2 linked regions of the Arabidopsis thaliana genome follow. The protein of the gene in region 1 purifies or fractionates together with the protein of each later gene. This does not show direct contact. Each region holds a gene or a part of one and is shown in the gene's direction. Other genes may lie near its edges. The genes, in order: AT3G01790 and AT5G64670.

Evidence for each region.
Region 2: the proteins of AT3G01790 (region 1) and AT5G64670 fractionate together in Arabidopsis thaliana (co-fractionation; one large-scale study listed by BioGRID). This does not show direct contact.

Annotation. Positions count from the first base shown.
Region 1 is NC_003074.8:282,662-287,883, reverse strand, and holds AT3G01790 (Ribosomal protein L13 family protein), read left to right. Parts: upstream 1-2,079; 5' UTR 2,080-2,177; intron 2,178-2,259; exon of another isoform or gene 2,260-2,290; 5' UTR 2,291-2,300; coding exon 2,301-2,348; intron 2,349-2,689; coding exon 2,690-2,761; intron 2,762-2,962; coding exon 2,963-3,129; intron 3,130-3,243; coding exon 3,244-3,355; intron 3,356-3,433; coding exon of another isoform or gene 3,434-3,520; exon of another isoform or gene 3,521-3,785; coding exon 3,786-4,004; 3' UTR 4,005-4,484; downstream 4,485-5,222. Other genes in the region: AT3G01800 (Ribosome recycling factor), read right to left, coding at 341-421, 500-568, 671-739, 817-838, 936-1,027, 1,132-1,247, 1,320-1,463, 1,654-1,864; TPLATE (ARM repeat superfamily protein), read right to left, coding at 4,485-5,045, 5,125-5,222.
Region 2 is NC_003076.8:25,851,589-25,856,168, reverse strand, and holds AT5G64670 (Ribosomal protein L18e/L15 superfamily protein), read left to right. Parts: upstream 1-2,101; 5' UTR 2,102-2,288; coding exon 2,289-2,693; intron 2,694-2,982; coding exon 2,983-3,066; intron 3,067-3,164; coding exon 3,165-3,254; intron 3,255-3,367; coding exon 3,368-3,634; 3' UTR 3,635-3,928; downstream 3,929-4,580. Other genes in the region: AT5G64680 (mediator-associated protein), read right to left, coding at 838-1,172, 1,295-1,399, 1,460-1,538, 1,620-1,736.

The DNA of each region.
Region 1 (5,222 bases):
AATTTCACTATCATGTCAAATTATTGGTAAACTAATTGACTCATCTCCTACCTCTTCCCCCCTTGCCTTGGTTTTCAAGTTTGGAAACTTCTCTTCAACTACAAAAGCCAATTAGTACTACTATATATGAAACTCGAAAAATAACATCATAATTATTGGAATTCTTTCAAGGCCTTTCTTGGGCCCTTTGAAGGGCCTTCCATCGCTATTCATCATCAATTTTCTTGCAGTTCCAAGATCCCCAAATCAAACATTCAAAAGTTGAAAACAAATCTTGGTAATGAATAAAAGATTCTTTCAAGGTAGCGTGAAAAGACTAGTGATGTATAGGAATGATGAATCAGGCTTCGGTGATCTCTTTCTCTTTGGACTTGCACATGTCCTCTGCTGACTTCACAAATTTCTTCGTCAACTCATCTACCTGTTCACACAAAGGCCATTATTTTCAGTAACTGAAGTAGGATGCATATTTGCAGAAAGATCATACAATGACACTCACTTCCTTCTCCAGTCTTTTTACTTCATCCTTTGGTAGACTCGAGCCTGCTTTCTTTATCGTGTCCAGTGCCTGACCAAAAAAAAAAGTCTCTGATCATTAGATGTTCTGACGTGTAGGAGAGAGTTTACAACAAACAGCTTCTATGGTTGTGCTCTACACCATTCATACTACCTTTTGCCTCGCTCTTCTTATGCTTTGTTTGACAACTTCACTGGACTTTGTAACAATCTTGCACATTGCCTGGAGTTCATATAGATAGATAGGGTCAAGGCTCAACCTCAGTGACTAAACAATAACACATGACTTGGATGCTTTACCTGTATATGCTCCTTGGTCAATCTGCTCACGAAATAAAAACATAGAGCGGAAATCAGACAAAGTCAGTCAATTACGGCTGTGATAAACAATGAAATTTGACAGAGAAGAACTTTCATACGCTGGGATAGATGCGACCAGTCGTTGCCCATCCAGTTTCGGGTTTAATCCTAATGGCGACGCGACTATTGCTTTCTCAAGTTCTTTGACCGTCTGCAGAGACAAACAAAGCGTCAATGGCGGCTTGTTGGAGAAAAATGACACTCTAATGTAGTCGAAGTTTTTCTTAGTAAAAGAGAAAGAAAGAATCAGTATACATCGGGATCATAAGGATTGACAGAGAGAGTCTTAGGATCCAAGACAGAGACCAAAGCTAAGTGATTGAGTGGCATCTTTACTCCTCCCGTTTCAACAACAATATGATCAAGCATTCCTGCAAATGCACACAATAAGCACAGACACAGAGAGGCTTAACCTAAACCCGAAAGAAAGAGGTGAGAAGTACCTGGAGCGGCTCTTCCGGTTCTTAATTTAGTTAAATCCCGGGACAATGCATCAATGGCTGCCTCCATTTGAGAAGAGGCTGCTGCTTTCACGGTAGGTCCGATATCTGGAGCTGCGTCGACCATCCCTGTTCCTGAATCGTCCTCTGAAGAAGAAGGCAGAAATGCCGTTGTTCATACAACAAAAAACAAAAGAAAAAAGAAACTCTTTTGATACCAACTACAACTAGTACAAGAAGAATCTATCAATCCCTCTACTTGAAAAGTCTACAAATCATGTTAATAAGATTCACGAGCGAGTGATTGATAAATGGAAATGAGGAATAAACAACATACTTGATTTTTTGCCTTTTGCAAAGCCTCGACGAGAATCTCTGAGGAAATCGGGCATGGACAAATCGAATTGCAGATCTCGGCCTCCCATCATCATGAGATTGGGTGAAGAAATGAAGGAGAAATCACGAGATTGAACAACAACGGAGCTTCTTCTGAGAAACCCAATCGCGTTACGACTAGATAGAGCTCGTCTCACGAACATAGCCATCATCCCTAAAGACTTCAACTTTCTTCTTCTTCTTCTTCTTCTTCTTTTCTGAGGTTTAAGGAGGAAGACACGCAAGAAAAACAAGTACCTTTTGATTGATTCCGTGTATAGAGCTAAAACCCTCGACCTCGAATCGACGACTGAAATGTAATAAAAAAAATTTAGTTTCCTTCATATATAAAGTCATTTCCTTTTCTTTTAATGAGAAAATACCAAAATAGCCCTCCGCCTTCTAAAACCCTTTGTTATACAGCTCCCTCCTAGATCTTCCCATTTCCACCGCCGCTGTCACTTCCGGCACTGTCTCCGGTAACCGGTGAGTCATCTCTCTGGTGATTCTGGTCAATTCGTTGCAGACTTCTCCATACGAATCTGTATAACTGAAATCACATTCTCAGTTTTGTTTTTTGTTTTTTGTCTAACAAACAGCTGAAGAACGATGGCGACTCAGGCTGCTGCTGCTGCCTCATTCAAGGGCAACTTAAAGGTATAAAATGATTACTTCTTCCTTCCATATCTCCAGCTTTTTGATCAGTTTTAGCCAAATCACCTTAGATTACTATCAACCAGTGAGCGATTCCCACGTTTAGGTCTTCTTCTACGTGTTATGCATTTTCTACTTAAAATCATTTGGAACAATGATCACTTCCCATTGCATCTATTCTCCATTACGGTCAGAGAGTGTCACACCTATGCTATGCAATTTAGAAATTGAGTAGATGCTACAAACTTATTCGAAAATGGACCCCTTTCTATTATTAAAAAAAAACTTCCAATCTACTCTTTGTATTATGTTTTGTTGCTGATCTTGAGTATGTCTTTGTGCAGAAAGCTGTGGCAGGTATAAAGCGTATCAATCTCGACGGTCTTCGTTGGCGTGTTTTTGATGCCAGAGGCCAGGTTTTCTTTCTTCTACCTCTCTTCCAATCTACTCTCTCTTTCTTCTACCACTTTCTTCTTCTTATGCTTGGTTAGTTACATGACTACAGTGGCAAACATTTCCAGATTTTAGATAGGATGCCTTATCTTTGTTGTGTCTTTGTATTAAATCTGAATTGAATTGCTAGGATTTCATTTGTGAATATAACTTGTCTACTCTAGGTTCTTGGTAGACTAGCTTCCCAGATATCAACCGTGCTTCAAGCCAAAGATAAGCCTACTTATTGTCCTAACCGCGACGATGGCGATATTTGTATTGTTCTCAATGCTAAGGAAATCGGCTTCACAGGAAGAAAGCTCACTGACAAATTCTACCGTTGGCATACTGGGCAAGTTGCACTCTTTCTTTTAATGCTCCTGTGAATCTTCAGCTACTACAAGTGTTTTATCATATCTTTTAGTATCTCCCATTTTCATCTACTTTATTTAATCTCTCTTTGTAGGTACATCGGACACCTGAAGGAACGGAGTCTGAAAGATCAGATGGCCAAAGATCCCACAGAGGTCATTCGTAAGGCTGTCTGGCGCATGCTTCCAAGTAACAATTTGCGTGATGTGAGTACACTATAAACTGAAACATTTTCTAATCACCTGAATCCTCAGTCTTTTAGATCCCTGACTTTCTGGCTACAGATATTACCCCACACCTTGGCTTTACTCTTACTTGTTGATATCCATCATGAGTTGTGTGGAATGAGATTCTTGGTGTCCTATGTCTAGAAAGGTTGTCTCTCCTCACAAATCGGTCTTATCGAATGAGATGATATACCCTTGTTTTGAAAATCATTTAGGTTTGGAAGGAAGATTGTTCTGAACTCTTGGTTTTACCATTTTGTTATTTGTCCTTTATCTTTGGTGGGAATAGTGGCTTGTTTGTACTGATACATTCTCGCTTCTCAGCTCCTAAATGAATTGCTCGCATAGTTTAGGATGTGTTGCTTAAAACAAGAATGTGCTGAGGTTTTGTTGCTTTGTGTGGGTATAGGACAGGGATCGGAAGCTGAGGATATTTGAAGGCGGTGAGCATCCTTTTGGGGACAAGCCACTTGAGCCATTTGTGATGCCGCCTCGTAGAGTTAGAGAGATGCGACCGCGCGCAAGGCGAGCAATGATCCGTGCGCAGAAGAAGGCAGAGCAGGCAGAAAATGAGGGAACAGAGGTAAAGAAAGGAAAGAAGAGGACCCTCTCTGAAGTACCTGCGTAGAGGAATTACTTCAGAGGAAAGCTAGTGATGTGACTGTCTTTTTATTTGTAAGCAAAGTTCATAATGCAGACGTGGATAAGCTTTTAAGGCTTTCTTGTTTCTCAGACAATAAACCTGTTTCTGGATCTCAAACACTGTATCACAAATGAAGCCAAAACCATCTTCCTTAAACATGGATCTGTTTCTGGTTATCTTTCAGTTTTCTTCGTTGCAAAAAACAGAGCAATCTCACGCCAAACACTGCATGACTACAGAATGTTACTGATGGAAAATGGGTAAATGCATCCTTGGTTCCATAAACGTGTGAAATTTGTGAATAAGACGGAAGAATTCGTAAAAAAGGGCAATAGTAACATCCTTGGTTTGTTTCTTTTCTTCACCAACAACAATACAAAACATCTAAACCTACGAAGAAACCACACACAACAAAAGAAAACAAAGATTGTTGTAGCTTCATCTGAGAAAAAAGTACTCTCGCTCTTAGTTAACTTTGGTATATTTTCTATCTTTGCACAAGATGTGCCATTCTTGGAGCACTGCTGCCTGAAGCGCCATGTGCTCTGTTTCTTCTGCTGTCAGCTTAGAAAATGTTCCTTTTTCCTTCTCTTTTTTCTTCTTCTCTTCCTTGTCCTTTCCCTCTTCTTTCTCCTTTTTCTCTTTTACTTCTTCATCATCATCTTCTTCTTCTCCTTCTTCTTCTTCTTCGTTTTCTGATTCCTCCTCTATCTTTGAAGTCTTCTTCGGCTGAGCTGCCTTCAACAAAGCTATCCTCTCCATAGAGATCTTCAGCTTCTCGGCCGCGGTTGCCTTCACTTCGTCCTCTGGCATGTACTCAACGCCCCCGTCAGTTAGATCATCACACCATCCCTGAATATCCGACTCTATTTGCTTTGTGATTGATGCTTCTGATGCTCTAACCACAAACTTGCACATCATGGTGGTAGTCTCGTCACCCAGATCCATGTTCCTGCTCACTTCACTAGCGCCAAAGATCATCATACCCACAAAACCTCCATGCCACGTTTTTGCAGCGTAACAAAGCTGTAGTGACATCAAGTTAGGGGTTTATCAGACCATCAATCCAGTTAAGGAACAAGAAGAATAACAGAACCAAGTTCACCTGAAAGCCAGCAACTGTGCGTATAATGTGGGAACAGACTCTGTGGAATGGCTTCGAGGATAATGATTTGAGTCCGCTTAAAAATGGTGAAGCCCCAT
Region 2 (4,580 bases), on another chromosome or scaffold:
TTGTGACTTGTTGAAGCCATTTAGTGTAATCACTACTTATATTTCAGGTTCCAAGTATCCGACATCGAATGTATACTTCACCCAAGTATGGAGGATTGAATTACTATTGAAGAAGTACGTCACTTGTGATGATGAGGATATAAAGCAAATGGCTATGGAAATGATATTGTCACTTTAAATGGGGTGGGTTTAATTGGGGTGGGTTAGCCCATATTAACATGACTACTCACTTATGTGGTTTGGGCATAAGTGATCTTATTTCTTTATAACAACATCACTGACTTGGTTTAATTCATGTGTAAAACCAGGAAGTCATCGACACATCTGGAGGGTAAAGTCTTATGATCACTATACCATTTATTCAATCATCGACCTTTGACATCTCATCTCCAGTTTTCAATTTAAACTTTACCCTTTTTTCCCAGCTGTGGCGCGAGTTTTGTGGTTGAGATTATCTCGGAACAGTTTGAGGGGAAGAGATTGCTCGAGAGGCACCGTATTGTGAACGCTGCTCTTGAAGAAGAGATGAAAGAAATCCATGCTCTCTCGATAACGAAAGCTCAAACTCCGCAACAATGGAAGCCAATATCACAAGACTCTGCAACAACTCCAACCACAGAGGCTTGAAGACAAAAGAACAACAAACATAGCTGAAAAGCTGTATTTTACTTTTACTTTGTTCCATGGTAGCTAATAAGCTTGAACTTTTATAAGCATCTACGGCGAAATAACTTATGAATTTGAATACATTACTGGCTGTTTATCATCTGCATAATCGAAATTCAACATCTTAACAGTCACAAACATTCTCTTTGAAAAAAACAGGAGCAAAGATCTTTACTCTTCCTTCTTCACCTTCTTCTTGGACTTTGCTGATCGTTCTGAAGAGCCTGAAACCGTACTTGTTGAGCTCCGATGTTTACCTGAGGAAGACTCTGAATTTTTTCTTTTTGGCGACTTTGGAGTCTCGGTGAAGCCAGAGAACATGCTCTTCTCTCTGCTGCTACGTGTGCCGCTTTTATGCCGGCTGCTTTGAGTAAGGTTAGATGATTTCTTAGAGGAATTCGTCACTGATCCGACAAGCTTCTGTTGTGTTCTAGCCTTCATTTTCTGAAGCAACTCGTTTGGTTCAGGGTAACGAACTAATGCAACTCGCCGAGTAATCTTCCCAACTATCATAAAACGAACAACAACAGAAGAATCATTATTAACGAAACAGGTGGTAAAACAAAACTGTGTAAACTGAACGACCAAAACCTAAACAAGACACAACTGTAAAGTAATGGGAATATACCAATCATTGATTCTTCAGAAGGTATAATCAACTCTGCACCAGCATCTTGAGAATGAAAGCTAGCAAGATCATACTTTGCACCTAAACAAAGGTGTAATGAGCCAGCTTTTGGAGATCAAAACTAAAATATTAAAGAGTATGAAAGAACACAAAACATAAACATACCATTTGAATCCTTGAATTCTCCAAATAACCCATCTTTGTCTGGCTCAATCTTAAGAGTGTTCTCTTCGATTTCTGGAAACTGCGATAAAGAAAAGTCATTTAGCTGTAGAACATTACATGAGGATCAAATTTGCAATAAAGAATCATTCTCTAAACATACTTGGCCTAAAGGGGCTTGGATAAGCCAAAACTCATCAGAACGCGTCAAATCAGTGTCATCTAGCTGCTCTGCGCCACTGACTATGAAATCTCCGGAAACTTTGAAATCGAAATCCATCTCTGCTCAAATCAGCTCTCGCGATTTCACAAAACCTGCAAAATCGAGAAAACAAGTGTTAAATATAGCGAGAGCTTTAACATATATAATAAACAAAGCTTTTGAACAAACTCAAACTCTGTCAAAATCGCAATTATAAATCTCTTCAAAAGACATAAATTAGTTAGAAAAATCAAGAAACTGGATGCAAATCGGAACGAGAAAGCTAAAGAGAAAGAAAGATGGCTTCGTCGGCGGCGGAAAAGAGAGAGAATCGTTACCGGAGAAATAGCAATTCGGCGATGACCTAAAACCCTTCCCAATTTATTTCTCTGTTTTATTTTATTTTGAAGTTCACTCAAAACGACATAGTTTAGTGAATTGGCGGGTGGAAAAGACATTTGGGCCATAATGGGCCTTTAAGTGACAGTACTGAAGAAGAAAGCAATGGTGATGGATGATTCAGTAGCTCTTCACTGAAATCTCATAAACCCTAAATCCCCAAAATGGAATAATCAAAATTTCATCAGGAGATCTCTAAAATCGAAATCTACTTGATCCCGCAACGAAGAAATGTTAAGAAGAAGACTCTTGTCGATCATATCAACATCACTCATCAATTCTTCGTTTCATCAAACCGCGAAACCCAGATTCATCATTTCTTCACCACTTCTTCAATGCCGTCCTTCTCCGATCTCTACTCAAATTCCGACCTCTACGAGCAGGGCTTTGTCGTTTCAAGGAATCAGGGCTTATAGTTTATTGAGCTTGAACGATCTGAGAGACAATGTGCCGAGAAAACTCAAGACGAGGAAAGGAAGAGGTATTGGGTCTGGTAAAGGTAAAACTGCTGGAAGAGGTCACAAGGGGCAAAAAGCGAGAGGAACGATGAAGTTTGGTTTCGAAGGTGGTCAGACTCCACTACGACGTCGTTTACCCAAACGTGGCTTCAAGAACAAATTTAAGCTCCATTTTCAGGTTCAAGCTTGTGCCTTTTAGTTCTGGGATTTTCATTTCTGAGGTCAAGTTTCGGATTTTGTAGCTTCCCTTGATTCGAAGGGTTAACATTTGTGATTGATTCCTTAGATTAGGTCGAATTTGAGAATCTAAATCAGATGGATCACTCTTGTTCTTCTTTCTGTATGCCATTATTGCTGTTCTTTAGCTGCTTGTGGTGAAGTAGGTTATACTGTGTGTGTAAGGATTTAGGATTTGACACTCTATTGATGCAGCGACTAAAGATGTTTATGATTGTTTTGTGATGCAGCCGGTTGGTCTAGGGAAGATTGCTAAACTCATAAACGCTGGGAAGATAGATTCTCATGAATTGATTACAATGAAAACGCTCAAGGTTCGGTCATACTTCACTCTTTGATTCAACGGTTTAAATTGAGTTTAGGATTCTTAATATGTCTGATTCTTACTGAACACATTAACGTCGGTTTGCAGGATGTGGGAGCCATAGGAAAGCAAATAGAAGATGGAGTAAGACTAATGGGTCGTGGTGCTGATGATATCAAATGGCCACTTCATTTCGAGGTTTATCATTTGCGTTATTAACTTTTGCTCTGTAGTCTCTAGAGCCGTTGCACCAGTCAATGTATTTGCTTAGTTAGATGTTCAGTTGATCGGTATGAGCGTGTTTATTACAGGTTTCGAGAGTGACGGTTAGGGCCAAAGAGGTGGTGGAAGCAGCAGGAGGATCAGTGAGAAGAGTGTATTACAACAAGTTGGGCTTAAGGGCATTGCTTAAACCGGAATGGTTTGAGAAGAAAGGAAGGTTATTGCCAAAAGCAGCGCGACCACCTCCTAAACAACAAGATAAGGTTGATAGCATTGGACGTCTTCCAGCTCCGAAAAAACCCATTCCCTTCTTTGCAGCTGAGGAGACCAAAGTTGAATCTCCTGTTGAATCATAATTTTGGGCTGCCATTTAACGTTTGATGTTTCTGTTTAAGTTGTTTGTGTTGTTTCTTGGTCAATGTTCACCACTAGAAAATTGAGAATGTCGGATTTTAATTTGACAAATAAGGTCTTTCTCGTTTTACTTTATCTGTAGTTGGCCACAACAAGTTATTCAACCATTTTCAGACTTGTTGTTTGGGATCAAGGCCTGTTCTTGTAGAAGGTTGAGAAAACCAGAGAACAATCACGTTAGATTTGAATTCATTATTATCCGGTTTGGTTGAGGCGTTGTTAATGTTAATGAGTTCAATGGTAACTTTGCTTTTTTTGACTAAAGATGCTAAAATCTGCAACTGCAAATATATAGGTTATGAGATTATGTCCCTTTTTTGCAGTGTTATTTTACCAAAACGATGTGCGAAATTTACCTAATTTATCGAAAAGGGGCTATGATTGTCTGAATTTGAACAACCGAACGTGATTAAAGAAGAAGAAGATAGATTTCGAGGTTTCAGAACTCATTACTCTTAACAAACATGTAATGATGAGTACTGTACTGTTAATTATAGCATTGATTATATTAAATAACTACGAAAAAAAAAGAGTACTCGATTGGTATTTTATTATCAAATAAATATGTAATTAGATCGGTTTATTTGTCTTTAAAAATGATCATTACGTATTTGTTTAAAATCAAGTGCAGTTCAATATCATACACTATATTTTAAAAATGTTTCTGTTTATCTTCTTCTATTGATCACACCTTTCTGATCTTATGTACCTATTGATGATCACCTTCCGGCATAAATGTCACGTTTAATGTCAAAATAAATTAAATGGCTATAGAATTAGATGCAACCTTGGTCCATCACATTGACAAATCACAATAGACATTTCAAAGACATTATTGGTTATCATTAAAACAAATCGATAGATCCCAAGAAAAAAGTCGATTATAAA